7 linked regions of the Callithrix jacchus genome follow. The protein of the gene in region 1 interacts with the protein of each later gene in a pairwise test. Links are inferred from orthologs where the notes say so. Each region holds a gene or a part of one and is shown in the gene's direction. Other genes may lie near its edges. The genes, in order: VIM, PNMA5, SIRT6, ESS2, FABP4, SMARCB1 and MRPL44.

The links.
Region 2: the proteins of VIM (region 1) and PNMA5 interact in binary tests that used the Homo sapiens proteins (3 or more experiments, as listed by UniProt). The link is inferred for Callithrix jacchus from reciprocal best matches to the Homo sapiens genes VIM and PNMA5.
Region 3: the proteins of VIM (region 1) and SIRT6 interact in a two-hybrid assay, tested with the Homo sapiens proteins (2 studies listed by BioGRID and IntAct). The link is inferred for Callithrix jacchus from reciprocal best matches to the Homo sapiens genes VIM and SIRT6.
Region 4: the proteins of VIM (region 1) and ESS2 interact in a two-hybrid assay, tested with the Homo sapiens proteins (2 studies listed by BioGRID and IntAct). The link is inferred for Callithrix jacchus from reciprocal best matches to the Homo sapiens genes VIM and ESS2.
Region 5: the proteins of VIM (region 1) and FABP4 interact in a two-hybrid assay, tested with the Homo sapiens proteins (2 studies listed by BioGRID and IntAct). The link is inferred for Callithrix jacchus from reciprocal best matches to the Homo sapiens genes VIM and FABP4.
Region 6: the proteins of VIM (region 1) and SMARCB1 interact in binary tests that used the Homo sapiens proteins (3 or more experiments, as listed by UniProt). The link is inferred for Callithrix jacchus from reciprocal best matches to the Homo sapiens genes VIM and SMARCB1.
Region 7: the proteins of VIM (region 1) and MRPL44 interact in a two-hybrid assay, tested with the Homo sapiens proteins (2 studies listed by BioGRID and IntAct). The link is inferred for Callithrix jacchus from reciprocal best matches to the Homo sapiens genes VIM and MRPL44.

The regions. Positions count from the first base shown.
Region 1 is NC_133508.1:18,041,680-18,045,067, forward strand, and holds part of VIM (vimentin), read left to right. Parts: intron 1-1,709; coding exon 1,710-1,805; intron 1,806-1,902; coding exon 1,903-2,064; intron 2,065-2,761; coding exon 2,762-2,887; intron 2,888-3,235; coding exon 3,236-3,388. UniProt on the Homo sapiens protein: Vimentins are class-III intermediate filaments found in various non-epithelial cells, especially mesenchymal cells. Vimentin is attached to the nucleus, endoplasmic reticulum, and mitochondria, either laterally or terminally.
Region 2 is NC_133524.1:149,111,095-149,115,654, reverse strand, and holds the start of PNMA5 (paraneoplastic antigen-like protein 5), read left to right. Parts: upstream 1-1,690; 5' UTR 1,691-1,774; intron 1,775-3,531; 5' UTR 3,532-3,659; intron 3,660-4,102; exon of another isoform or gene 4,103-4,246; intron 4,247-4,343; 5' UTR 4,344-4,405; intron 4,406-4,560.
Region 3 is NC_133523.1:3,924,565-3,929,065, reverse strand, and holds the start of SIRT6 (NAD-dependent protein deacylase sirtuin-6), read left to right. Parts: upstream 1-1,563; 5' UTR 1,564-1,587; coding exon 1,588-1,653; intron 1,654-1,797; exon of another isoform or gene 1,798-1,874; intron 1,875-2,502; exon of another isoform or gene 2,503-2,677; intron 2,678-3,195; coding exon 3,196-3,323; intron 3,324-4,345; coding exon 4,346-4,501. UniProt on the Homo sapiens protein: NAD-dependent protein deacetylase, deacylase and mono-ADP-ribosyltransferase that plays an essential role in DNA damage repair, telomere maintenance, metabolic homeostasis, inflammation, tumorigenesis and aging.
Region 4 is NC_133502.1:210,759,623-210,762,923, reverse strand, and holds part of ESS2 (splicing factor ESS-2 homolog), read left to right. Parts: intron 1-275; coding exon 276-391; intron 392-553; exon of another isoform or gene 554-665; coding exon of another isoform or gene 666-671; intron 672-972; coding exon 973-1,252; 3' UTR 1,253-3,301. UniProt on the Homo sapiens protein: May be involved in pre-mRNA splicing.
Region 5 is NC_133517.1:45,225,193-45,229,614, forward strand, and holds the start of FABP4 (fatty acid-binding protein, adipocyte), read left to right. Parts: upstream 1-1,499; 5' UTR 1,500-1,563; coding exon 1,564-1,636; intron 1,637-2,774; exon of another isoform or gene 2,775-2,805; coding exon of another isoform or gene 2,806-2,842; intron 2,843-4,104; coding exon 4,105-4,277; intron 4,278-4,422.
Region 6 is NC_133502.1:192,663,439-192,667,201, reverse strand, and holds part of SMARCB1 (SWI/SNF-related matrix-associated actin-dependent regulator of chromatin subfamily B member 1), read left to right. Parts: intron 1-1,198; coding exon 1,199-1,389; intron 1,390-3,763.
Region 7 is NC_133507.1:145,706,316-145,710,078, forward strand, and holds part of MRPL44 (large ribosomal subunit protein mL44), read left to right. Parts: intron 1-1,163; coding exon 1,164-1,342; intron 1,343-3,445; coding exon 3,446-3,614; 3' UTR 3,615-3,763. UniProt on the Homo sapiens protein: Component of the 39S subunit of mitochondrial ribosome. May have a function in the assembly/stability of nascent mitochondrial polypeptides exiting the ribosome.

The DNA.
Region 1 (3,388 bases):
TATTATACCTGTAATGTTCCCTGCAGAGTAGTGAGTTAACAAAAAAACAACATCAATACAAAAGACCCTCTGTTTTGAGATTAATCAAAATTCCTCATTCTCTTTAATGTAAGCAAAATTCCTCATTCTCTTCAATGTAATAGAATACGCTATTGATCTTTTTTGAGAGGTTAGTAAAATATTTGTTATGTCTTTTTTAGGGCTTACCAAGTAAAAATGAATGTTTTCATTAAGTTGGATCTTTTTATCACCCACTCTTCATTCATTTTTTCCCAAAGATGATAGAAAAGTCTCAACAGTTTAATACTCTAAGAGTATAAACTGAACTCCAAATATAATTACTGACAAGATAAGCAATCCTCATGCATCCTTTAGAGAGAAAATAAAATCTTAGTTGCAAAAGTACATATTCTGATTTGGAATGTTGCCCTTTACAAATGGAAACATAGAAGGACAGCTGAATCAGCAAAAATTCATGTAGTTTCATTATCTGCAAGCTTGGTCAGTGATTCAGAAACAGGCTAACTGAACTGATACAGTAGCAAGTGAAAAAGACATGCCTTTATGAGAGGAGCCAAAGGAGTTTTAGAAGAAAACTCCATCAGAGAAAGCAAAGCAAATACATTAAGAATTACGTGTCTTTTCCATTTTTTCCTGAACTGAATCTTAGGCAATGCCCATATTCCTGAATTGGGCTATTATTGAATATAAATCTAGCCTTGTACAATGGATGCCAGATGGCTACATATTTGCTCTGGAGCCTAAGGATGAGATTCAGAAGATTCTAGTGGAGAAAAAAACTTAAACTCTTAAAGCATGAGTTTCTGTTCTTTATGTGCTCAAGTGTACATGAAGTTGTGAAATTTTGTCCATGTCTATTATCATGTTATTCCATGAAATTACAAAACCAATCTTAAAAATGTTATGACAGAGATTTTCTAGATTTCAAAAGTAATTAAATTAAATTAATTTTTTTGAGACAGACTGTTTCTCTGTCACCCAGGCTTGAGTGCAATGGCACGATCTCGGCTCACTGCAACCTTCGCCTCCTAGGTTGAAGAAATTATCCTGCCTCAACCTCCTAAATAGCTGAGACTACAGGCGTGTGCCAGCACACCCAGCTAATTTTTGTATTTTTAGTAGAGATGGGGTTTCACCATGCTGGCCAGGCTGGTCTCGAACTCCTGACCTCAGGTGATCCCCTGCCTCTGGCTCCCAAAGTGCTGGGATTAACAAGCATGAGCCACCATGCCCAGCCTTCAGTAAAACTTTATTTACAAAAACAGACAGCCACGGGCTGCAGTTTGCTGACCCCTGATCTATACAGGTTGGATTTTGTTGATTACAGGCATGAGCCACTACTCTGAGTCTTAAAAAGTAATTTTAAAATGTCACTGGTAAAATGTGGATTCAGTCATGATTGCGTACAGTTTACCACATTTGTAGACATTTATTTATTTTAAAATTGTCTGATCACCACCTTGAGTAAAACACAAGGGGTCATGATTAAAATTTATTAGTGAGCAGGAGAAAGCGTAGCATATGATAGCACTAAATGATTTCTAAACTTACTCAAGGGTGGTAAAATTTGTCAACACCTTTTCTATAGTAAGGAGACTAGGTTTAGATGGTTAATCTAAGATGAATAAGTGAGAGAAGCCATAGACTTTTACATCCTCCATGTCCTGTCTTTTCTCTGTTCAAAATAGGATGTTGACAATGCGTCTCTGGCACGTCTTGACCTTGAACGCAAAGTGGAATCCTTGCAAGAAGAGATTGCCTTTTTGAAGAAAATACACGAAGAGGTTAGTAGAGTGTCTTTCGGGAAATGAATGAAGGTAAGGCAACCCCCACAGTTGGCACAGCTGACCTTCTATCTGCTTTTTTTTTTTTTTTTTGCAGGAAATCCAGGAGCTGCAGGCTCAGATTCAGGAACAGCATGTCCAGATCGATGTGGACGTTTCCAAGCCGGACCTCACGGCTGCCCTGCGTGACGTACGTCAGCAGTATGAAAGTGTGGCTGCCAAGAACCTGCAGGAGGCAGAAGAATGGTACAAGTCTAAGGTAGGAAACAAGTCCCTGTGGCCTGCACAGAAGAAAAGCATTGAGTTCTCAAAACACCATTCCTGTGTGTAATTCCTATCCTGTAGCTCCAGTTAAAAGCTGGCTTTGACTTGTTGCTCACATTTATTTATTTATTTTTGAGATGGAGTCTTGCTCTACTGCCCAGGCTGGAGTGCAGTAGCATCATCTTGGCTCACTGCAACCTCCACCTCCCGGGTTCAAGCAATTCTCCTGCCTCAGCCTCCCAAGTAGCTTGGACCATAGGCGAGCACCACCATGCCCGACTAATTTTTGTATTTTTAGTAGAGATGGGGTTTCACCATGTTGGCCAGGCTGGTCTTGAACTCCTGACTTCAGGTGATCTGCCTTGCCTCAGCCTCCCAAAATGCTGGGATTACAGGCATAAGCCACCACTCCTGGCCATATCACCTCCTTCAGAATAGCAGATTCCCTTCCTCTTAACCGTGCCTCCAAGTAAACCCCAATGCCATACTTTGACCTCCACTGTGTTTAAATGAGTACAGTAGAGTGAACTCTGAAGATAGTAATGTCAGTGTTCCACTGCTCTTTCTCTGGCTTTCAAAACAGAAATTTAAGCCTATACTGGAAGACATTCAGTGGGAAATATGATCTTTTTTTTCTAAGAGAGTCAAGACTTGAATGGGAGCAATGTACATTTCTGTTTTCTCCCCGACAGTTTGCTGACCTCTCCGAGGCTGCCAACCGAAACAATGATGCCCTACGCCAGGCAAAGCAGGAGTCCAATGAGTACCGGAGACAGGTGCAGTCCCTCACCTGTGAAGTGGATGCTCTTAAAGGAACCGTGAGTACCAACCCTGCAGTAAAAGAGGGGAAATAATGACCCATTCTGCTGACTATGCTAATGGCGAAGCCTGAACAAAATGTTGAGTGAATAAAAATTTATACGGTAATGCAAAGAAAATGACTTATCACGACAAACTCAAAAAGGACTTGATGGCGCTCTTGAAGGTTTTAGCTTGTGTATATCATTGCTTCTCATATGAAGGACTTGGTACTTGCATTCTCCGCCTACGACTAGAGTAGTTGTCATTTGCCACTAATGGAAATTATTGCAAGAAGACTAAATGGTTCTGGGAATAGCTGGGTTTTTCTGAGCAATAACACCAGAAACCTTTCTCACCTCCTGCAGAACGAGTCCCTGGAACGCCAGATGCGTGAAATGGAAGAGAACTTTGCCGTCGAAGCTGCTAACTACCAAGACACTATTGGCCGCCTGCAGGATGAGATTCAGAACATGAAGGAGGAAATGGCTCGTCACCTTCGTGAATACCAAGACCTGCTC
Region 2 (4,560 bases), on another chromosome or scaffold:
AAGAAGGTGGTGTCTGCAAATGTCTTGCTCAGTGACCTTCAATGTAAAATGTTTTCTGTTTTTAAGACATTTATTAAAACATTACCCAAGAAAGCTTGCTCTTTTTTTAATCACTAATAAAGAAACACACATATATTCTCTCACCACAGGTCCATAACTTCTGGCCCTGAAGCGTAATCATAGCCTTCAGACCATTGCTACACACAGCCTGGGCAGGGGTAGGCAGCAAGTCACCCGGCTTTCAGCAGAATCAGTCCTGCACTAGGCCTCCTCACTGAGAACTTGCATTTTTTAAAGATTGCCAGGGTATTTGTGTGCATCTTGAAGTAGGCCGTGAAATCAGGAGAATAATGGGAGAATAGAGTATTTTCAGTCATCTGGCTCTAAGTAAGCAGAAAAAAAAAATTATGGCCTTGTGAAATGCAGGCCGTAGCTGTATTTTTTACCTTCCTACCCCAGAACGCAGTCCAATAAAAAATACACAGGTGCTATGAGTTTCAGGTAGTAAGTAGGCTCACACCCCCTATTCATTATACGTGGCCTATATGCTGCACCCAGTGATGTGAACCAGGTCCTTCAGACACTGCTTGGGACACCACAGCTCCCCTCCAGTGGAAAAGAACCACAATGGCTGCTGGGACACATGGTAAATGAAGAGCCTGGGTGCCACCGTCGTCTAGCTAGTAAACTACAGGCGTGGGAGGTAGTCTGCAATGGAAGTGGCACCCAGTTGTTTTTATTGTCTGTTCTAAAAGGTGCGGGCTGGCACAGGCTCGCACGGGTGGTAGTGGGGTGGTGAGGACCCGTCGCATGGGAAGTAGGAGGGTTTGTGTCATAGGTGAGGAACTGTGAGTGGGCTGTGTGGAGTTACAGTGGGGGAGGGGGCGGTCATCACCCGATAGCCTCTTCCCGCGTCAGGTTGAAAAGGGGTGTGTGACTTTCAGGTAGTACACACGCTCACTTGGCCTATTTGTTACACATGGCTTATATGTTGTACTCGGTGATTTGCACCTGGCCCTTCACACACGGCTTGGTACGGCATAGCTCCCCTCCCACGGGAAAGAAACAGAATGACTGCTGGGTGACGTGGCAAGTGGGGAGAATAGCTGCCGCCATCGTCCAGTCAGTAAACTATAGACTTCCGAGCTAGTATGCAATGGAAGTAGTTCCCAACTGTTTGTATTGTATTTCCTCAAAGGTGAAGGTTGGCGCAGGCCGGCACAGTCTGGCAAGGGTTGGGGTGGGGTAAGGAATTCTTGATAGGGAAGTAGGAAGGTTTATGTGGCCACTGCACAAATGTGAAAGAGCCGTGTGAAGTTTTGCTAGGGTGGGGGTCATCACCCAAAAACCTCTTCCCGCCACAGCCTTTAACAGGATCTGTGATGTTGAGGTAGTACGTGTAGTCATGTGGCCTATTGGGTACATGTGGCGTGTATGAAGAGACTGGTGCTACCGTTGTCCAGCCAGTAAAGTACAGGCATCTAGTCTGTAATGGAAATGGCTGCCAGCTGTTTGTATTGTATGTTCTCAAAAGTGCGGGCTCGAACTGGTGGGGTGGGGGTGAGGAGTTGCTTGGCGCGGGAAATAGAATGCTTTATGTCACTAGTGCGCAACTGTGAGTGGGCCGTGTGCACTTCCGCTGGGCGGGGAGGCGTTACCAGACAACCTCTTCCTGTCATAGCCTGGAGGCGCATTCGGCACAGAGGCGGCAGCCGCCTTAGACGTGTGGTGGTCGCGCTGCGCGATCACTCCAGCTTACAGGCCTTTCTGACAGGTACGGAGCTGGGCCTGGTCATACAAAGCAACCTAGATTAGGGGGTATATCGCCAATAACTTGCTATTTTCCACAGGGCCTAGGAGTTGCTATCCATAGTTTTCCAGGCAGAACTTCTGGGAGACCTTAGGCTGGGCAGGCCGAGACGGGTGTATCACTTTAGGTGAGGAGGTATAGCCTACCCAAGATGGTGAAACTCCGTCTCTACTAAAAATACCAAAATTAGCCGGGCATAGTGTTGGGGACCTGTAATTCCATTTATTCAGGACAGTGACGCAGGAGAATAGGTTGAACCCTGGAGGCGGAGGTTATGCTGAGCCGAAATCATGCCTGCTGCACTCCAGCGTGGACAGCAAAGGGAGACTATTCGTCTCAAAAAGAAACAAATTAAAAAATACTTTCTGGAGGCCTGTTCCACCCTCAACTCTTGACCCTTGTCCGTGCAGAAGAGCGGCTTCGGATCTTCTCTCCTAGATCCTGCCGCCTTCCACTGGTGCTGGTAGTTGGTTTATGTAGATAACAGGGTAGAGATGGAGGGAAACGGGAACGGACGTACTGGATTTCGGTACAGGGGGTTAGACTTGTATGGCGTAAGTAGTTGGGCTTCGTGAGTGGTCACTCATTGCGGTACGGATTTGACTCTGGGTGCGGGCAGGATTGAGTTACGACTTAGACATGGGTGGGGGCAGGGTTGAGGCACGAGTTCGACTGTGGGTGCCTGCAGGATTGAGGTAGGAGTTAGACATTGGGGCACGGATGATGCACGACTTTGACTGCGTGTGGGGGCAGGGTTGAGGTAGGAGTTAGACATGGGTGGGGGGAGGGTTGAGGCACGAGTTCGACTGTGCGTGGGGGCAGGGCTGAGAAAGGAGTTAGACATGTGTGGGGGAGGTTTGATGCACGAGTTCGACTGCCAGTGGGGGCAGAGTTGAGGCACGAGTTAGACGTCGGTGGGGGCAGGGTTGAGGCACGAGTTCGACTGTGGTTGGGGGCAGGGTTGAGGTAGGAGTTAGACATGTGTGGGGGAGGTTTGATGCACGAGTTCGACTGCGAGTGGGGGCAGGCTGGAGGCACGAGTTGTACGTCGGTGGGGGCAGGGTTGAGGCACGAGTTCCACTGTGGGTGGGGGCAGGGTTGAGGTAGGAGTTAGACATGGGTGGGGGGAGGGTTGAGGCACGAGTTCAACTGTGAGTGGGGGCAGGGTTGAGGTAACAGACGTGGGTGGGGGCAGGGTTGAAGCACGAGTTAGACGTGGGTGGGGAAATGGGTTGGATTTCGTGCTGGTTGGGATTGCGGTAGAGGTGGATCTTAGGTGTACGCACGTGGACCTTGGCAACGTGTGGTGGTTATGGTGAGGTAGCTAAGCGATGCAACATGGCTGCAATGCCGTAGCTTCCGATCAACATGGCTGCAGGGGCGGAGCTTCGGACAACATGGCTGCAGGGGCGGAGCTTTGGAGCGAGTAGAGTTTGCAGTGGGGGTGGGACAACAACCTTATCCTACGATCCCTTCTGTCCTATCAGCAGCCCCCACCAGCCCCCACCCTCCACCTCCCTCACCATTCCTTCCCATACTCCCTCTTTCCGCACCCCTCCCCCTTCCTCCCTCCTCCTCCCTCTGCCAGTTGAGCAGTTTCTTCTGTGGCTGCGCCAGAGTACTACTGGACACCTTTGCAGAATCACAACTGCCGTGGCCTGAGCAGAGACGTGTGTGTGGGACACAATCACAACAAAATACCTCTGCTTTGCCTTGGACAGATCCAGAGAAGCAAGACCCGTCACTGCTAACTCAGTAGCTGCCTAACTGGACAGAGCTGAAGAGCGCAGCAAGTGTGAAGTGGCTGTTATTGCAGCTTCCACGCTGCTAGCAGAGCCAGCCCAGCAAGGTGAGCAGCTGTGAGGTGGGCTCTGGTGGGAGGGACTCTGGAACCTTGGCAAAGAGTGAGGAGACAGGACTCACTGCAGGGTTCGCAAACTCTGCAGGATAGGGCCATCGCTAGGGCAAGAGTTGTTCGTTTCCTGCAGTCTGGCAGTAGGGACCTTATCTGCGTCCCTTTTCTGCCCGATTTCACCTTCCACACAATTTAAACCATGAACTCCTGTCCTTCTTTGAGCACTCACTCCTCATGCCTACCTCCCCTTTCCTCACCTACCCTCCTTGTTGCTAGGATGCTGTATTGGATGAAGACCGATGACATCACCTGTTGCTTCTCAAGGGCCTTAGCCTCACCACATGACACTACCATACAATAGCAACCCATGGTCCATGGTATGCTCTGTATCCATGGCAACACTGCAGTTTCTCACACAATCTCCACACCCACCACTCATTTCATTGCGCAGAGCTCCGGCCATCTTTCTCCTCTGTCAGGCATTTCCTGAGAAACACGGCCACTCCACCTCTCCTGCAGCCAGCCTTCACTTCCATTCCAGCAAGGAGGGTGCCAGGTGACCTGAGCCCACATAGCCCTGAGTGAGCAGTGGGGCAGTCTCCTGACTTTTGCCTGGAGGGCTTGTCAGTGTCCTCAGGTGTCAGGCCCTGCCTCCTGACGTTGGCCTTTTCACTACAGGCACCTGCAGCACACCCGGCTGAGTCCTCTGGACATCGAGGAGGAACCCACAGCAGGAGGAGGTCAGCAGGGAGTGTGGTGAGGTGGGGGGATCTTTGCCTGGGGAGACCCACCACACTCTGTTCTCCACACAATGACTTGAGCCTTGGGTAGCAGGGACTCCATCCCTGCTGGGGGTGGGGGCAGAGGGAGGGGCACTTGGGAGTATACGTTGGGG
Region 3 (4,501 bases), on another chromosome or scaffold:
TGAGTGCATGTGTGTGCTGGGGTGCCTGGGTAGCTCAGAAACCTGGCTGGGACCCAGCACAGCTTCTTTCTCCCACACACAAGGGCTCAGGGGCCTGGGGCCCTAAAGGGATCCTCCAACCTGGGCCTCTCCCACCTCCTTCCTCCGTACCTCCTGCAGCTCCAGTGCCCCGAGCTCCCGGCCGCAGTGCCCACTGCCGACTCCGGTTACCCACTCCCAGCTGGGCCCCGAGAAGCTCCAGCAGCTCTACTCTGACACCTGATCAGCTCTGAGCGGGCGGCCGCCCCAGGGGGCTGGGGATGAGCCGAGGGAGGAGACAGGCTGGCAGCGGCTCTGGCGGGAAGACACCCACGATCTTCCCTATCATCACTGGACTGATTTCAGATTCTGGAAGGAGCCACGCTCTTCCTGTCTCCTCAGCCTTTGCACTTGCTGTTTCCCCCACTGGGAACATTCTTTCTATATTTCAAGTCACTCCCAACCGGCTCTACCTGACTCATGCACTCTTTAGATCTTTGCTGCAACATCCCCTCCTCCAGGAAGCCCTCCTGGATGCCCCCAAGCTGGGTCAGGTGCCTCCTGTGAGCCCCCTCGCTGCCCTGTGCCCTCTGCATCCCCCATTGCACCGCAACCACACCATGTCACCATTACCTGATCACATCTTTGTGTCCACCCCCAGCCACCAGGGCAGGGACGGTACCATCTTTGTTCCCCAGTGTGCCCAGTGCACAGTAGGTGCTCAACACATGATTCTTAAATAAGCCCTCCAGGCCACCAGCCCCAGTGACCACGAGCAGGAAGTGTCCTGCAAAATTCAGAGCCTCCACTTGTATGATATTCAGATAACCTGGCCCGGCGCGGTGGCTGACGCCTGTAATCCCAACACTTTGGGAGGCCGAGGCGGGTGGATCACCTGAGGTGAGGGGTTCGAGACCAGCCTGGGCAACATGGTGAAACCCCATCTCTACTAAAAAACACAAAAATCAGAAAAAAGAAAAAAAAAAATTAGCTGGGCGCGGTGGTGGGCGTGTGTAATCCCAGCTCCTCGGAAGGCAGAGGCAGGAGAAACGCTTGAACCCGGGAGGAGGTTGCAGAGAGCTGAGACTGCGCCATTGCATTCCAGCCTGGGCGACAAAGCGAGGTTGTCTTACAAAAAAAAAAAAAAAATTCAGATAATTCAGGGTGGCATTCAAGACCCTTGGACTAGGGGGTCCCTGCTGTCTGGCACTGTCCTTATGGAATTTACTAACACGTAAAACGGGGTTATGGGGGCATCGATAGCCTGCGTCCCTCATTTTAGAGGTGACTGGAGGACTCTCACGTAGGCGGCCGCCCCAATTTCCCGCTCGGGTCATCGGGCAGCCCCTTCCCAAACCCCGAGAATGCCTGCAGCCAAGAAATCGGGTTTCCTTCCGACAGCAGTTAACATGGCTCCTGCGGCGTCAGCACGCGGCGCATGCGCCTTGCCGAGGGAGGCAGGGTTCGCGGAACAGGAACGCGGCTCCTCCTTCCTCCCCGCCGCGCCCCGCTTCCGGCGGAAGCGGCCTCAACAAGGGAAACTTTATTGTTCCCGTGGGCGCGGCGAGGATGTCGGTGAATTACGCTGCGGGGCTGTCGCCGTATGCGGACAAGGGCAAGTGCGGCCTCCCCGAGGTGAGCGCATCCGGGGATCCCGAGGGTCGCTCCCAACGCCGTTGGCAGGGAGGGTCCGGACGGCAGCAGGGCATTGTGGGAATATCAGGAGACACTGAGGCTAGACAATGGGAGGGACTTCCCAGTGAGGAAGGGGCGGGAAGTGACACCCCTGCGCACCCGGGGACGCGAACACGCCCAACTCTGTGGCCACCGGCCGGGGCTGGTCGGGGAGAGCGGGGGTGTGTAGTTCCAGGAGGAGGGGACGGCAGGCGCAAGGGCAGGGTGGTGGAATAAACGCACCTGGAGAACGATTAGGCCGGGGAGGTTTCCAGAGCCGGGCCAGGGCGGGGCTCAAATGCCAGGCTGGGGAGTTGGCACCTTCTCCCGAGGGGGATGGAGAAGGGTCTTGCCCTGGCGAGGGGCCTGGACAGAATGTGCCAGGAAGATCCCTCCAGCCACTCGGAGGGGAAGTGGAGGGGTCGGCTGTCCCCTCCGCGCCCGGTGGGAAGTCACTTCAGTTCTGGGTCCCCATCCCCATCCTTTCTGCGGAGGCTGTCGCCTGCGTGAAGATGGCCCCGTCCCATAAAGGCTGACCCATGCATTCCGAGTCTTGCATTTAGTGAGCGCTGACGGTGTGTCTGTCCAGAAGCCGCGCTCTTCATTGCTGCTGTCAGTCACTTTATTTATTTACCTACTTATTTTGAGGCGGAGTCTTCCTCTTGTCACCCAGGCTGGAGTGCAATGGCGCGATCTCGGCTCATTGCAACCTCCACCTCCTGGGTTCAAGCAATTCTCCTGCCTCAGCCTCCCAAGTAGCTGGGATTACAGGCACGCGCCACCACGCCCGGCTAATTTTTGTATTTTTAGTAGAGACGGGGTTTCACCATGGCCAGGATGGTCTTGATCTCTTGACCACGTGATCCGCCCACCTCAGCCTCCCAAAGTGCTGGGATTACAGGCGTGAGCCACCGCGCCCGGCCTGTTAGTCACTTTCTTCCACCAACATTGATGGAGCACCTGCTGTGGGTCAGGCACTTTCTAGGTAAGGGGGCCACAGTCAGGAGCAAGACAAGTTAACCCCTCTTTCTAATAAGGGAGACTGACTAGGGGTTGTATGGAAACCAGGTGGCCAAGGGAGGCGTCACTGTCGCTGAGGTGACATCTGACCCACAAGTTACAGGAGGTGAAGGAGGCATCCATGTGGGTATCTGGGGGAAGAGCACTCAAGGGTGTGGGGACAGCCTGTGCGGAGGCCTTGAGGCAGGACTGTGCCTGGCGTGATGGAGGAAGAGGGAGGAGGCCTCCCTGCGTGGCTGGATCAGAGTGAGTGACGCTGGGAAGGGAGCAGAAGAGAACATGAGGGGGCAGGGCTAGGGCTTTAACAAGGCAGGTGGGAGCCACGGAGGTCTGTAGGCAGAGGACACACATGAGGACAAGCTGCCTTTTCCAATCTATTTCCTGCCCCAGGCAAGAAAGGGACAGCTCGGTCTGTGGCTCGTGTATGGCCTGGCCACTTGCGGGACCTGTTCTGACCCCTCCATCTGCTCCTTCCCCCTACAGATCTTCGACCCCCCAGAGGAGCTGGAGCGGAAGGTGTGGGAGCTGGCGAGGCTGGTCTGGCAGTCCTCCAACGTGGTGTTTCACACAGGGGCCGGCATCAGCACCGCCTCTGGCATCCCCGACTTCAGGTCTGTGAGTGAGTGTGCAGGGGACATCGGGGCAAGGCCCACCAGCCTGCCACGGCCTTCCCCGTGAGCCACACAACTAGGCATTAGGGCCCATCCATCTTCCTTCCTTCCTTCTGGATGTGTCCTGGACACTGGGGAGGGCTGATATTCCCTCCCTTTAGGACGTGTCCCTTGAAATCACAACCAGCATTCCACTCACCCCCTTGGCCTGATCACACCTGGCTGGAAAAAAAAAAAATCAGAATTCCAAGGCGTGAATTTTTCCTCCTCCTCCTCTTCCATAACCTGCTGTGGCTCCCCATTACCAGGCAGGAAGAATTCTGAATTCCTGGTGCTGGAAGCTCAAGCCCTTTGTTCCTGGCCCAGCCCCGAATCACCTCTCCAGCGTCAGCTCCTCCTGCCCCTGCTACAGCCCCCAAACACTTGCATTTTCTCCTAAACTCATGGGTTCTTCCCAGCACCCCGGCGTCTGTTTACCCCTTCTGTCTGATATTCCCTCTCACCCTTCAAGAGACGCTCAGACTCCTCCAGGAAACCCTTCCACATGCCCCAGCGTCCCCACCACCTCCACTGGCCTTCCCCAGGCCCAGGTACCTCCTCTGATCCAGTCTTGACCCCGTGGGGCCAGAGGGTCTGTGTCCACCTGTCTCCCCCAAGATCAAGGGTTTCTGGAGGGCAGGGCTTGGGTCCATGTGCCCTGCCAGGCTCAGGGCAGCAGCAACCAAGTTGATTGAACTGAATAAGTCATTTTTGCCTTCGTGTGAATTCATCTCTCCCTCTCTCTGTCTCTCCCTCTCTCTGTCTGTCTCCAATTCTAACTTGACTTTGTCTTTAACTCGTTATATCTCTGTCTCTGTCTTATTCTGTCTCCCTCTCCCTGTTCTTCCAAATTTACCCTCTATTTCTTTCCGACTCCCTCTCTCTGCCTCCCTGCCTCTCTCTCTGTCTCCTGATTTTCTCTCTCTCCGTCTGTTTTTCTGTTCCCCTCTCCCCCTCCATCTCTCCCGGCCTGCCACCTTCAGGGGTCCCCACGGAGTCTGGACCATGGAGGAGCGGGGCCTGGCCCCCAAGTTTGACACCACCTTTGAGAGCGCACGGCCCACGCAGACCCACATGGCGCTGGTGCAGCTGGAACGCGTGGGTCTCCTCCGCTTCCTGGTCAGCCAGAACGTGGACGG
Region 4 (3,301 bases), on another chromosome or scaffold:
GAATCAGGGAAACACTAAAACATACACTCTTTTTCCTGAGAGATTGTCAGAGGTCATGGCTTTGGGAGGAACATGAAGATAGGTGAGGAGTGCTGGCCCCTGGAGAGGGCAGGTGGGGTTGGGGGCTTTCCAGGGGCTTTTAGAGGGAAGTCATGGTGGGTTGTGGGGATTGTGTAGGCCACAGGGAGAGGTTGGCGCCCACAACAGTGGCTCTCTGTATGAGGGACTGCCATGTGGCAGGCCTGGCACAGCTACCCACGTCTGATCCCTTGTAGATCCTGGAGCCAGGCCGCCGGGAACGGCTGGGGCTGAAGATGGCCAATGAGGCTGCTGCCAAGAACCGGGCCAAGAAGCAGGAAGCTTTGCGGAGAGTGACGGAGAACCTGGCCAGGTGAGGGGCCTCCTGGCCGCTGGGGAAGTGGGAGAGTGGCCCTGGCCTGCTCCTATTCAGCCCTTGCCCTGACCGTGTGGAGGCGTGGCCCATGCGGCAGAGTCCAGGGCAGATCCACGGGGTTCTTCAGTGGGTGCTGTGGCAGCTCCTCTTACCCAGAGCTTGGCCACACATGGACAGGACGAGGGCCCCTCCATCTTCTCTTTCCTCCACATCCTCTTTGGCCCGTCCCTAAGAGGCACCTTTTGGTGTGTGGTCCTGGTGGGAGCTTCCATCAGCCCTGTGGAGAGAGTCATCGTTCCCCGTGGAGAGGGGTGGGGACTCCAACTCCCAGAGGTCTGTGGGTCTACCCCAGCCCCCACAGCTAGGGCAGCATGCTGTTTGACCTCAGATTTGACCTGAGCGCTGCCGTTTGACCTTGGGGCTCCCTGGTACTTGCACCATGCCAGGCAGTGCCGTCCTCCTCAGCTCAGAGTGGCTGTGTCTCTGCCCAGGCTCTTCCTGGGAGCTGAGGGAGGCCCTACTGTCGGCAGCTCTCTGCCCATCTAACCCTGCCTCTCTCGCCCATCCCTCCACCCCAGCCTCACCCCCAAAGGCCTGAGCCCAGCCATGTCCCCAGCCCTACAGCGCCTTGTGAGCAGGACAGCCAGCAAGTACACAGACCGGGCCCTACGGGCCAGCTACACACCATCCCCAGCACGCTCCACCCACCTCAAGACCCCGGCCAGTGGGCTGCAGACCCCCACAAGCACACCAGCACCTGGCTCTGCCACACGCACCCCCCTCACGCAGGACCCGGCCTCCATCACGGACAACCTGCTGCAGCTCCCTGCCCGACGCAAAGCCTCAGACTTCTTTTAGAGCCAGGCCTGGAGCTGGGCCCATGGACACTTCATGGAATCTGCAGGGCAGCTGTCCACCCAGCAGAGGACTCCAGCCTTCTCAGGACCCAGGCCTGGGCCAGAAGCTGTTGACCCTGCCAGGAGCCACTGGAGAAGGGGACTGTACTGGAACCAGGCTGGCACAGGGCACACACCCCAGGGCCTTTCCAAGCTGTTTGCTACTTAATCGGCCCCTTGAACTGTCATTAAAGAACGCCTGGTACAGTCTGGTGGGATCTCCTCTCCGTCCTGCTCTCCACACAAGCCTCAGGGTTGCCCTGGGGCCTGCATCACGTCTCGGGACTGCAGGGCTTGAAGCAAGGGGGCCCCCCAGGCAAGGAAGCTGCAGGTGGGGTGGCTGTGGGAGCTCTGGGTGACTCTGGCATTGCTTTCTGCAGCACCTGGAACCTAAATTCTGAGCTGAGGTCACACACATCCTCTAGTGCTTTCTGCTCCTCTGGGGATAATATGAAGGAGAGATGGAGCCCTTGGAAGTTATACCGCTCAGGTTCACCTGCGGCTCTGGGCCCAGGTCTGCAGCCTCCAAGCTGGGCTTGCCTGCTGTGAGGTGCACTGGTTATAGGACTGTTTGGGAGTGCATATCAGGTGACCTCAGCCATCACCTTCTCCTAGCACCTGGCTTCCAGCTCAGATGAGGTGGGACTGTCTCATCTTCCTGCCTTTCTGCTCAGCCCTCTGTTACAGGCACTGCCCATCTTATGCTGCTGGCTTTGGCCTCACCTTGTCACTCCCACCAATAGGAACACCCAGGTAATAGTAACATGGGCCCCAGGCTCCATGCAGACCTGGCACATGCTCTGTGCACTGTGGAAGCACTTGGCCATGGGCAGCGGATGTGTGTGCCAGACCCTTAGGAGCCTGGTGGCCTTGTGTTTTAAGTTGGTCACTGAAGCGGGGACTGAGCCTGCTTCCTGTGGAGATAGAGAGGCCTGGCTCCTATTGGTGGGAGTGACAAGGTGTGGAGGTCACAGATTGTGCCCTCGGGGTGGGGGTGTCGCTGCTCAGGGACACGCTTGGCCTCTACTCACACCGGGGTCCTTCCTGCTTTGAGTGTGCCCAGCCTGTGCTAGGCGATCTTCTCTGGTCCCCTCACTCATTCCCTAAGTGCTGAAGTTCTCTGGAGGCCAGCACAGAGCCTGACTCTGCCACCTTCCTGGGCCCACTGCTAACCTATGCTCCTCGACAGTGAGTTCCTGCAAGTTCCTGGGGTAACTGAGCAATAGATGTGCCCTGGGACCTGCAGGTAGACGTAGGGGTGCTGGACAGATCAGGCTGGGACTGTTCATGAGTGGGGAAGGTGGGGCCTTTGGTGCTTTACCCCATAGGAAAGGGTGGCTTTTATCTCAAGGGAGTCCCTAGGGAGTGGGGAGGAGCCCTGTCTAGGTGCTAACCACCTCCAGCACTTGGCTGGCGAATGGGCTGCATGCTTCGGCAGCAGCGGGTGACCCAGCAGAAAGCACGAAAGACTAGCCAGTGCACCATCATCAAGGGCTGCTGAGCAGCTTACAGGGCCACTGGGCGGGGAGGGCACAGGGGAGGTGAGGTCTTAGCTGGGGCTGCCCCTGGAGGGCAGGGCAGGCAACGTGAGGGCTGAGGACAGAAATCTCAAATGACTGGGAAATGGAGGAAGAGGAGGATGCTGAGGGAGAGGTTGTGAGGGAGCGGGGGCAGGTCAGAGCAGGCTGAACTGCAGGAGGCCAGGGGGAGCTGTAGACCTCTGGAGCTGGCCAGCCTGGGGGCAATGGGGATAGAGCCAGGTCAAAGAGAGACAGTGGGGGCCTGGTGGGTGGACCCTGGCAGAGGCCCTCTCGTCCCCAACTAGGCCAGGCCACACCTGAATCTGCCTGCGCCTGAGCACCTGTCCTGTGCTCCTAGGCTGGAGACCACTGTGCATCAGCTGAGGCGGCTGGCCGAGTCCCAGAGAAAAACACTCCTCACTGGGCACTCTCGATGCTTGTACACACCCTGTGGTTTACTTGGTGGTCAGTAAGGAGCATCTTTGCTACTA
Region 5 (4,422 bases), on another chromosome or scaffold:
AAAAGTCCAGATTTTATCACTATTCAATATACACCTGTAACAAAAATGCACATGGAGCCCTAAACCTATAGAAATAAAAATGATTTAAAAACCAAATTGCAGTGTTACAATACATATCGTATGTATTCAAATTCAATCATTTAAAAACCTGTCTGAGGCAAATTAATTTAAAACATTATCAAAAACATCCCTCTATTAAGATTTGTCACTTTTATTTACTTTCCACCTGAAGGTCTTATTCAATGGGAAACAGGCAAATCACTAATAGCAAACCTACCTGGATGGTACATCGCCAAAGTCTATGTACCTATGCAACAGTCCAGAGTAGATGAGCGTTATTACTGTGCCATTAATAAATGCGAAGACTAACTTTATCAGGCTTTCATAGCGACTTGCTTTTCTACAGAAAATCCTGTTGTTTACAGAATCTCCTGCCGCAAACATTTTTGGGAAGCCCTCGGGATAGTTACACAGGCTTGTGAATCAATCATATGCTCAGCAGGTCCTGTTCAGTGGGATACACAGTGTAGTGACACATCACTCTGAAATACACTATTTTCTTTTTTTGCCACCAAATCTGGGTATGTTCGTGGGAATTTACAGCACATGTGAACATCTTCCATCATTTTTGCATGGGGTGAAGGGAATTGAAAACCATGATTACTTTAGGAAACTAATTTCACAGATTGGTCACTGTATAAAAGAAGGATATTGGTTTTGGTAGTTTGCAACCACACCATTTCTGATCTGCATAAATTTGGAACTCATAATACTGTTCAGAAATTGAATGCATTTTCTCAGTATGAGGAAAATATTTTAGAATGTGGCTGATTTTTCAAAGGATCTGTGAAATCAGTGCTATGCTCTCATTTAGGAGATGGAAAGAATGAGGTTAAATTATTATTTTAATAAAATCGACAGTCTAGATTCCTGGTAGGTCAACTGAATGTACTCTTAAAATCATATAAAACATTTGAAATTAGAAATATGGAGTACTTTTAAATGCCATTATTTATTTTGTTTTAATTGCCAGGTAATTTCTGAGACAGTACTGTCCCAAAGAGCCTTTGCAATTATGTAAGAATCTCCAAGGCAGTTCTTATGTTTCTCAATTCAAAAGAACCACACAACTTCAATTTAAATTAAAAAAAAAAAAAACAAAAGAAGGTCAAAGTTTATCTCAAAATAATTTCCCTTCTCTACACTGGGGTAAGTATGTATAGAAATAATAGGGGAAAATTCATACACTGAGCATTAAGCTATCAAAACAGGAATGTTTAAAATATCCTGTTAGTGGTTTAAAAATAATTTGTACTCTAAGTCCAGTGACTATTTTCCAGGGATAACCAAAGTTGAGAAATTTCTATTAAAAACATGACTCAGAGAAAAAAATGCAGAGTCCGGTAATGAAGGAAATGATTGGGTATCATTCCCAATTGGTCATTCCTAAGATCACATGTTCTGAACATCTTTAAAAGGAAGTTATCTGGACTCAAGAGGGTCACAGCATTCTTCTGAAAACTGCAGCTTCACCTTGAAGAATAATCCTAGAAAACTCACAAAATGTGTGATGCTTTTGTAGGTACCTGGAAACTTGTCTCCAGTGAAAACTTTGATGATTATATGAAAGAAGTAGGTAAGGAAATGCACTGGGGAATGAGTGGATTTATAACATTTTCTTTTGGGGAAAAGAGTTTATAGCTGTCTTTACATCAGTGTCTGGAAGCTCCTGCCAGAAATGAAAATGCTGCTTTCTACAGAGAGGCTCCACACATAGCAAGTGATAATCATTTGTTTCTAGAGAAATTCTGAACCAAAGCTACAACTAATGCTTCCTAAAGGTGTACCAATATTTAAAAAGTGTCTAAATGGAATGTTTATGGTCTTTAAAAACAACAAGATTCGACTTTAATTGCAAAACTAGAGTATCTTTGGTTTACATAGCTCTCTGCATGTTTTTCTTTCTTCCCCTTTTGCATATAAAATAAGCAATAACTTGGAAAAATGATATGCAATAATTTTCATTTGAAACTGAAAGCACTCAGTTTCCCTTAATGCAAGGCTCTTTTTCAGTAACTGTATGTTAGCCAATTATTCTCTTGTCTCAATGTCAATCCATTAAAATATGTGGTTGTTTTATGATAGACAAAAATCTTAATTTCAGAAAATGTGTTTCTTAAAGGGCTTAAATACTTCCTTTCACTAGAAACGTCATAGGATGCTGTAGAATCATCAAGTAAGTTAAAAAGAGAATGTTACGTTTGTAGGTTTTTAATTTTTTAGATGCTAATAACATTGTCAGCAGGTTGTTGGATAAATGTCTCTCAGATAACTATGGAGGTAAAGCAAAACAGGCAACTTCTCACTCAGGCAGCTTCTACTTTGAAAGCCTTTCTCCCTCAACCCCATGCAGGATAGTCCATGAAAGTCAGAACTGGGGTTATAAACTGGGGAGGAATTTTCTGCAATCTCCTTCTTAGGGTTTAGAATGTAACAGTACTGTACAGGCGTGTTAAGTGTTTTGAATATATATATGTATTTTGCTTATCTGTATTTTTTTTTGTTTTTAGATGATAGGAAAATTGCTGACTTTAGCATGAGAGAGACCTAAGTTTCTAGAATAAACTAAAGTGATTCAATAAACTAATTCATATGCACTGATACAGAAATGCCAGGATTTGGGGCCATTTAACTATTTATTTTTAGAAAAATTTTTATGCTTTTAATAGTTATATTTTCTAATAATACGGTATTTTTAAATTATAGACGACTGATGATAATTAAGGTCAATAAAATACCTCCTGCATGAAATCAGCTGCTCTAATTGAGGATGAGTGGGCAGGTATTGTCTTCATCACTCAAATAAAAGCAAAATCAAGCAAATGAAGTCTATGATTTTTCCCAAGGTCAGCCATTCCAGCATCATACTCAGTTTTGCCTCCATTCATGAAGCCGGCTCACTTCATACATTTAATATTATATTTTGTAACAGAGCCAGGACTTGAAGAAAAACCTGTGGTCATGTTTCAGACAGTTAAGTCAGAGCCTCAGCATTACTTATTTGGCACCATATGTCTCTCCCAGTTTTCCCCAATTTCTAGCCTTTGGTTGCCTTTAGTCAAAGAAAGAGCTTAGATTTACATGCACATGTTTAAAAATTCAAAACATCAATGACTGTCATAAATTCTGCATGACATACACAGTAGCAGCAAGTTACTTCTATGTTAGGATGTAAATTATTCATTCCATACCTTGCACAAGAAAATATATTCTCCTTTTTAAGAAAGAAGAGTTCACAACTTAGGTGACTGGAAATCCAAGTATTGGCTTCTAACCTATTCTAAACTAAGAAACAGTGATTTCTTAAGTGTTAGTTTTCACAATTTGATAACGAGTGCCTTTTTAAATGTCCCTATAAATTACTAGGAATGATATCCCCATTCTAAAACGTTATCAATGCAGAAAACATTTTTCCTTTTGTAGTAGTATGGGTGGCTTTTCTGTTTCCATGAAATCCATCAAAATCTACATTTCATGGTGGGGTACTTTGAGAAAGAAGCACAGAAATGTAGACGTGGCAACAAATGCTATGAAATGTTATTTTTGTACACTCAAAACAGACGAACATTTAACTAAATAACTATACATTATTTAGTCAAATAATTCTGTTGAAAATTATTTGTCCCTTCTTAAATGTAATGTTGAGTATCTATATAATGGTCAAGTGGCCTCGGGTATTTTCTTAAGAGAGAAAAATAATAGTGGTTAACATTTTAAATATATATCTTCCCAAAGACTTAAACTTTATACACATTTTTGTTGAAAATAAACAATGGGTCTCCTGAGAAGTTGCATCCAGACCAGAGAAAGGGAAGTTGAAAGAATAGGGCCTACACCTGTTGTTTCTCAGAGGTTGTGCTTTAGTTTGTTTTTTTTTTTTTTTTAAGTATTAGCCTGATTTTATCTGCAGGAGCTGTTTAAATTAGGCCTTTAAGAAACTCACTAGTGTCTTTTTTCTCTTACACACATGCACCTGTGTACACAAACACATTCTGTGACTTAGAGAAAATGTAAACCTGACATCTTTTCTTTTCCTAACTGTAGGAGTGGGCTTTGCCACCAGGAAAGTGGCTGGCATGGCCAAACCTAACATGATTATCAGTGTGAATGGGGATGTAATTACCATTAAGTCTGAAAGCACCTTTAAAAATACTGAGATTTCCTTCAAACTGGGCCAGGAATTTGACGAAGTCACCGCAGATGACAGAAAAGTCAAGGTAAGAAATAAGGAACTGGCACAGAGTACACGCCTGTTTTCTGAATCGCCACTGCTTAGAAGAAATCTCTCTTTTTTTTGAGACGAAGTCTTGTTCTATTGCTCAGGCTGGAGTACAGTGATGTGATCTCGGCTCACTGTAACCT
Region 6 (3,763 bases), on another chromosome or scaffold:
AAGGCGCTGGTGAGAGGGGAGTTCTCCGGAGCCGGCACTTTGGCTTAGACCAGGATGCTAAGAAGAGGCTGGTCCTGCCAGGTGAGGGGAAGAACATTCTAGCAAGTGGTGGTGTTCAGGGCTCAGAGGCACAGGGCTTTATGAACATGATCGGGGATTGGGGTGCCCTCATTTCTCTAAAAGGAGGCAGAAGTCCTCAGAAGGGCTGGGCTCCGAGGCAGTGGCGAGTTCTCCATGCAACTGCCCACCCTGATCCTCGACTTCAAAGCTAAGGGCCAACAGTGAATGGGAAGGTGCACCATGGCCTCCTTGCCCCGTGGGGCACTGGACAGCAGTGAGGGATGACTCCAGCCCTACACTCTAATGGGAGGAGCTTTGCAGGCATACACAGAGGGAATGAAACTGGACCCCAGGGTCCATCCTATTCAGAACAGCCATACTTACTCAGGGGGAGCGAAGTCAAGATGGTGCTGCCTCAGTGGGGCAGGTGTAGGTGGGAGATCCTAGGGTACAGTCTGTTCTCTCTGGCTGGGTGCTGGCTTCCCAGGTGTCCACTTATGAAAAATCCCTGACTGCACATGCGGGGCCTGGGCCCTCTGGCTGTGAGTCATGTGCCGCAGGAGTCCTCTGGGGAGTGTGGGAGCAGCTGACTCAGCACTGCGCTCCCCGCAGGCTGCCCTGCTGCCTCACCATGTTGGCCCAGGGTGGAGTGCATCTGTGAATATGCTAGGCAGGGTTTTCTGAGAGGGGCAAGGTCTGTGAAGGGCATAGACTTTGGCTTAAGAGAGGGCTTAGGATTGCCTTAGCTGAACCCTGCTTGGCCAGTGTAGTCATGTAAGACCGATGGCAGCAGGAGTGAAGGGCAGAAAGGAAGGTCCCCGCCAGCATGGGGCACAGCGGGGATGGGATGAAGGTAAGGTGGGACTCAGGTGCTCCTGGGGCCACTTTGGGGCCTCTCGAGGGTGACCATGCTGGGCCCTGAAGCCAGAGCCCCTTGTGGCAGGCAGGAGGCCTGTGGGGTCAGCCCTGTTTTGGGGGTGAGGAACTGGAAGGACAAGGGCTACCTGCAGTTATCAGCTGGTGGATCCTGGTGGGCAGGGCACATCCCTGGTCTGGCAGGCTCCCCTACCCTTGTGGCCTCCCTGGGCTGGGGACAGTCCTGAAAGCTCTAACTTGTGTCCTTTGGTTGTTGCCTCAGCTGAACATCCATGTGGGAAACATTTCCCTGGTGGACCAGTTTGAGTGGGACATGTCAGAGAAGGAGAACTCACCGGAGAAGTTTGCCCTGAAGCTCTGCTCGGAGTTGGGGTTGGGTGGGGAGTTTGTCACCACCATCGCATACAGCATCCGGGGACAGCTGAGTTGGCATCAGAAGACCTACGCCTTCAGGTAGGATCATGCACGAGTCTCTCCTTCCCTCCCTCATCTCCCTGCAAAAGTGTTTTGAGAAGGACTTGTCTGTGTGAGTGGTGACGCCTTCGAGGCTTTCTCAAGCTTTGCAGCACCATCTTGCTGGGGTCTGTGTGTTTGCTCTGTCCTCCGTCACCCTGTGTGTCTCACCAGTACTCTGCTCTGCCAAGTAGGGTTGGAAGCACCTAACACAATAGCTGGCAAAGACTTGAAGCTCTGTCAGGGTGAATCTCAAGTCCTCACCTCCAGGGAGCCCTGGGCCCACCCTTGCCATCCACCATTCAGCCATCCTGCCTCACACCCTCTCTCTGCTCTTGCCCAGACTGTTATTTGGTCAGGATGGCCCCTGCCCAGGATTCTTCATCTGTTGAACTTGAATTCTATCTTAAACACAAAGGCCCGCCCCAGCTCTGGAGAGTCAGGGGTCCCCTAGCAGCTCCTTCTTACTGCAGTGTCTCTGCCTTCGGTCAGTCAGAGAGCATTTGGTGAGTACCATGCTGGACTGGACCCCATCCTGGCTGCCCTGGAAGATAGAGACAGGTCACCTTGATCCCTGCCTGTAGCATTTGGGCTGGCTGAGATGGTGGAGGTGCAGACAGAACATTCCAGTCCAGTGTCCTCTGTGCAAGGGTGGGGATGGACCCAGGGGAGGCCCTCCTGTTCCTGGTAGGAGGTAGGAGTCAGAGTTAAAAGCGAGGTCAAGGCCCACTGCGGTGACTCACACTTGCAATCCCAGCACTTTGGGGAGCTGAGGTGGATCTCCAGAACCCAGGAGTTTAAGACCAGCCTGGGAAACATGGTGAGACCCCATCTCTATATAAAAAATACCAGAATGAGCCAGGCATGTTGGCGCATGCCTGTAGTGTCAGCTACTCAGGAGGCTGAGGTGGGATCACCTGAGCTCAGTAGGTCGAGGCTGCGGTGAGCCAAGATCATGCCACTGCACTCAAGCCTGGGTAACAGGGTTGAGTCTTCAAAAAACAAAACAAAAGCAAAGCTGAGCTGTCCTGGCTCAGCAGGACTCCAGGACTGGGAAGCCCTGTGGTTCCTAACCCTGTCCTCTGTGTTGGGTTGGGGGTGCAGTGAGTATCCCTACATCAAAACAGGATGTTCAGATTTAGTCCGCTCATCAGACTATCATCATCCACATCTGCAGTCACCACGTAGGGATGACAGCTTAAAATGCTACACTGAGGAACAAATAGGAAGGTCTGTTTTGCAAAGCCATGGCAATTAATGGGGCTTATTGGGATTGCGTCTGGCTTGTTTTCCCAGACATCCCGAGAGACAGCTTTCTGTGACTTCCTGTAAATCTGAGCAAGGAAGAAGGAATGAGAGCCACCCACGAGGCTCAAGAGCCCTGGGCCTGAGAAACAGCTGGGCCCCTGCCTAAGCGCCAGTGGTTTTGAGATCCTGTGACCTGCCCCCAGCAGCCCTGCCAATCACATGGTTCTGTTTCACAGATAGGGCAGCCCTGAGAGGCGGCTGGGGGGCTGGTGTCTGATACCTCCCTCTTCCCTCTGGGTGCCGCCTGGGAATACAGCTTTAGTGTCCATTCACCCTGCATGGAGCCATGCCCTGTGGCCGGAGAGCCAGTAGGGTGGCCTCACTCCACGAGAGTTGACTCTGCGGTCCCGGGAGACAGTGATGTTGCCCACGTCGACACTGAGCACCTCCTCCCCCAGAGGCCGATCCAGTCGGAACCCTCATTCTGGGCTCGAAGGTGCGGGTGGCAGACTAGCAGCTCCCAGCATCCAGGCGCTGACGGTGTCGACCCTCACCCAGCCCTGCAGCTGCAGACAGTGCCCACAGTGTGGGCTCAGGAGCTGAATTCCCCAGGGCCTCTTGACAGGTCCTCAGAGCATTCTTTCCTTCAGCCACCATAGCACCATCCCTCCTGCTCTGAACTGAAGGTGCCCTGAGCCCAAATTCCTTGCCAAGCTCCAGGCCCTCTGCAGTTTGCAGAATGGCTTCAGAGCAGGTCCCTTGGGGAGTCCCTGGTGGTGGCAGGTCAGGACTTATAGGCAGATGCCCTCTTTATCTTAGCTACCACCTAATGAGTTCCAATTGTGGAGCTTGAAGACATCATAGACCCTGCCCGCTGTTGTCTCTCATGCTGATTGTGCAGTTTTCAAATCTTTGAGGTTGAAGGCAAGGCCACCCTGCTGAGACCAGGGTGAGCACATGTCCCCATCACAGCAGCCGGGTGGGAGGGGCTTGGGGACCTGGGAAGTGTCCTGAGTGGCCTCTTAGCATTAGGAGGGCTGCGTGTGTCTTCCCACTCCCCGCACTAGAAGACAGCTGCAAGGACAGGACAGGACAGGACAGGACCTTAGGGATGGGCTGGCTCATC
Region 7 (3,763 bases), on another chromosome or scaffold:
ACATTTGCTTCCATAATTTCTATACAACATTATGTTTTTTACTGGCAAAATCAATTCTGCTTTGAATGTTCATAATTTCTCAGTTATCTTAGTCATCTAAATAATTAATAGTATGTCGTGGTTTTAAAAGATAGTTTATGTGAAATTATTAAATGATTTTTTAAAAATTATTTTTTATTATTGTTTTTTGAGACAGAGTCTTGCTATATTGCCCAGGCTGGAGTGCAGTGGTGGCACGATCTTGGCTCACTGCAGCCTCCACCTCCCTGGTTCAAGTGATTCTCCTGCCTCAGTCTCCCTTATAGCTGGGTTTACAGGCATGCACCATCATGCCCAGCTAATTTTTGTAATTTTAGTAGTGAGAGAGTTTCACCATGTTGGCCAGGCTAGTCTCCTGGCCTCAAGTGATCTGCCTGCCTTGGCCTGCCAAAGTGCCAAGATTACAGGTGTGAGCTACTGTGCCTGGCTGAGTTTTTAAAAACATTATTAATGGAGGAGGTATTTTTATTTGAGTGCCATTTTACATGAGTTTCTATCAAAAGTTATTACTTTTTATTTGTTAACTCGATTCTTTAAGTATTTTTTTCTTACCTGTAGGAATATAATTCTAATTTACAAGATAGGGCAGGGCGCGGTGACTAATCCCTGTAATTCCAGTGCTTTGAGAAGCCAAGGCAGGAGGATCCTTTGATGCCAGGAGTCGAGACCAGCCCCAGCAACTTACGGAGACCTCATCTCTATAGAAAGTTTAAAAACTAGCCGGGTATGGTGATTGCTTGAGCCCAGGAGGTTGAGGCTTCAGTGCACGTGAGATCAGGCTTCTGCAGTCTAGCCTAGGCAACAGAGTGAAGCCCTGTCTCAAACAAGAAAAAAGGAGTCTTCCTGCTGTGGCATTTTGGTGGATCATACTGCTTGAAATAGGTTTCTCGGGCTTTCAATTTTTTTTAAGCCAATTATGATTTTTGTAATAAAATTTATGTAAAAACTATGGGAATGAAAGAGAATCGCACATTTTTGTCTTTCATTTCCCATTGTTTTAAATTTCTGTTAACAATGTACTTTGTTACTTTTCTAATTTAAAAAGTGTAAAAAATGTATTTTGAATTGTGGTCCTAGTGTTCTTTATACTAATTAAAATGTATAAATTATATTTTTATATGCAGGACTTCTTAATTACTCAAATGACTGGAAAAGAGCTCTTTGAGATGTGGAAGATAATAAATCCCATGGGGCTATTGGTAGAAGAACTGAAGAAAAGGAATATATCTCTTCCTGAATCAAGACTGACTAGGCAGTCTGGTGGCACCACAGCTTTGCCTTTGTATTTTGTTGGCTTATACTGGTTAGTGAAATTTTAATCTTTATAACTTTGAGGAAATCCTAAAAACAGACTCCTCACAAAGCCTTAAAAACAGACTCTTCACATTCCATAACGAATGTTAACATAACCTCTTAAAATTCCTTCATTTGAATTGCATTAAAAGATTTTTTTAAAAATCTCTTCCCTGTGGCTATTTACTGCTCCCTTTCCTGCTAGTTATTCTTAGGAGGAATCTGAGTTTTGCTAATTGTAGCTTTTGTCTGCCAACTATTTACCATAGACTTTCAGTATGTTATCTTAAATTTTTCTGTGTAAAATTACAAATGAGGCCAGGCACAGTGGCTCACGCCTGTAATGCCAGCACTTTGGGAGGCTGAGGTGGGTGGATCACAAGGTCAGGAGTTCAAGACCAGCCTGGCCAGCATGGTGAAACCCCGTCTCTAGTAAAAATACAAAAAATTTGCTGGGTGTGGTAGTGTGCACCTGTAATTGGGAGGCTGAGGCAGGAGAATTACTTGAACCCAGGAGGCGGAGATTGCAGTGAGCTGAGATTGCTTCTCTGTACTCCAGCCTGAACGATAGAGTGAGACTCCATCTCAAAAAAAAAAAAAGTACAAATGTTGACTTCATGTTGCATTTAACCTTAATCCATTCTTGTCAGTAGCTTCAACCGAGCCTAGAACTGGAAAAGGAAGGGCTTAGGTGTCCATCAAAATGTATAAATCACCCCATGTTGAGAGCTTTTTAGTTTTGTTAGTAAAAAGTTGACCTGCCCCAAATTAATTTCAGATGTTAAGATTAAAGTGTTAAGTGTAAATATTGAATATTTTTTAAAAAGCTAGATTAAAATTTAGTAAAGATTTTTCTAATCCTTGTATCACAAAAGACTAAAAGTATAAAAGAAATAGAAGTTACCACATGGGGAAAATTGATAGTGCTGTAAAAAGTTTCCTTTTCAGTTTACTCCTTGTTACTTATCTGATCGGCAGACCTTTTAAACATATCTTTTGTCACCGGTTTATTCACTGCTGGTAGAAAGACAATGTACTCAGTATTTCTGTGAATAATTTTGACAAAATGCCAAGCATCTTAACATTTTTTATGTTCTTTGATTATGGTATTTCAATTTTTGGTTGTTTGCCGTAAATTTGCAGGCAAATTTTGTGAACAAAGACATTTGTTGTTTTCATACCTTGAACAGTTGCTGGGACATGGTGGTCAGTAAAGAGTTGTCGAACTAAAAAAATAAATAAATAAATTAGAAATAAATGTGGTATTCCACAAGAGAGAAATGATATATGCACATGATGACTATAGTACAGCTGTTATAGGTGACATTTTAAAGGAATTTTTAATGAGATCAGGACATTTTGGAGAATGATCTTTTATCTAAAAAAAAATGTAAGAAGTAATTTGCCATATTACTACAGTGATTACTATTGGGTAGTAGTGTTTTTGTAGATCTAATGTTCTTTTTTTTAAATTTTAATTTATTTATTTATCTTTTTTTTTTTAATTTTTTGAAGAGGTCTTACTATGCTGCCCAGTCTGGTCTTGAACTCCTGGGCTCAAGCAATCCTGCTTTGGTCTCCCAAAGTGTTGGTGTTACAGGTGTGAGCCATCACACCTGACCTAAAGTTCCTAATTTGAAATATAGAACTGGTTTCTCATTTGTGTTCAAGTTTAGATGGCAAATTCAAAAGTCATAATTTTTTCAGCGGAATATTTTCCCAAGTTATATCACACATTAAAAATATGAACAGTCATAATTCCTGATAATATTTTTAGTAGTTTCAGGTTTTTGGAAGGAGATATTTGTTTCCATATTCTTCCAATTTTCATCAACAATTGAAAATGTAGATACTACTTGCTTTTTTGGACTTTAAAAATAGAGTTGTATGTATTTCTAAGGAAATGAAAATGTATCTTTGTCTAATTACCATATGTAATGAACTTGCAACAAAGCTCGTTAAAATCCAAAAGGTGATCTATCAAAGCTATTGTGTTACTTCTAATGGGTGTTATTGAAATAAGATGTAGAAAGCATAATTGCTTTATAATTGCTTTGTGTACTGTCTTATCATGTTCCAGGTGATTTAAGACAACTGTTTGTTCTCTTTCTAGTGATAAAAAGTTGATTGCAGAAGGACCTGGGGAAACAGTGTTGGTTGCAGAAGAAGAGGCTGCTCGGGTGGCCCTTAGGAAACTTTATGGATTTGCAGAGAACAGGCGGCCTTGGAACTATTCCAAACCAAGAGAAACGTTGAGAGCACAAAAGACCACTGCCAGCTAGCCAGCCATGATGTGGAGCCTGAAATGTGAGAGCAAAAGTCAGATAAATGTCAAAGGTGTTTCAAGCTAGATATTTTCAAAATTGTAAAGAAATAGGTGTTTTGGTTTTTACTGTGTTTCTAAAATTAAATAAATGTTAACCAAGTCACA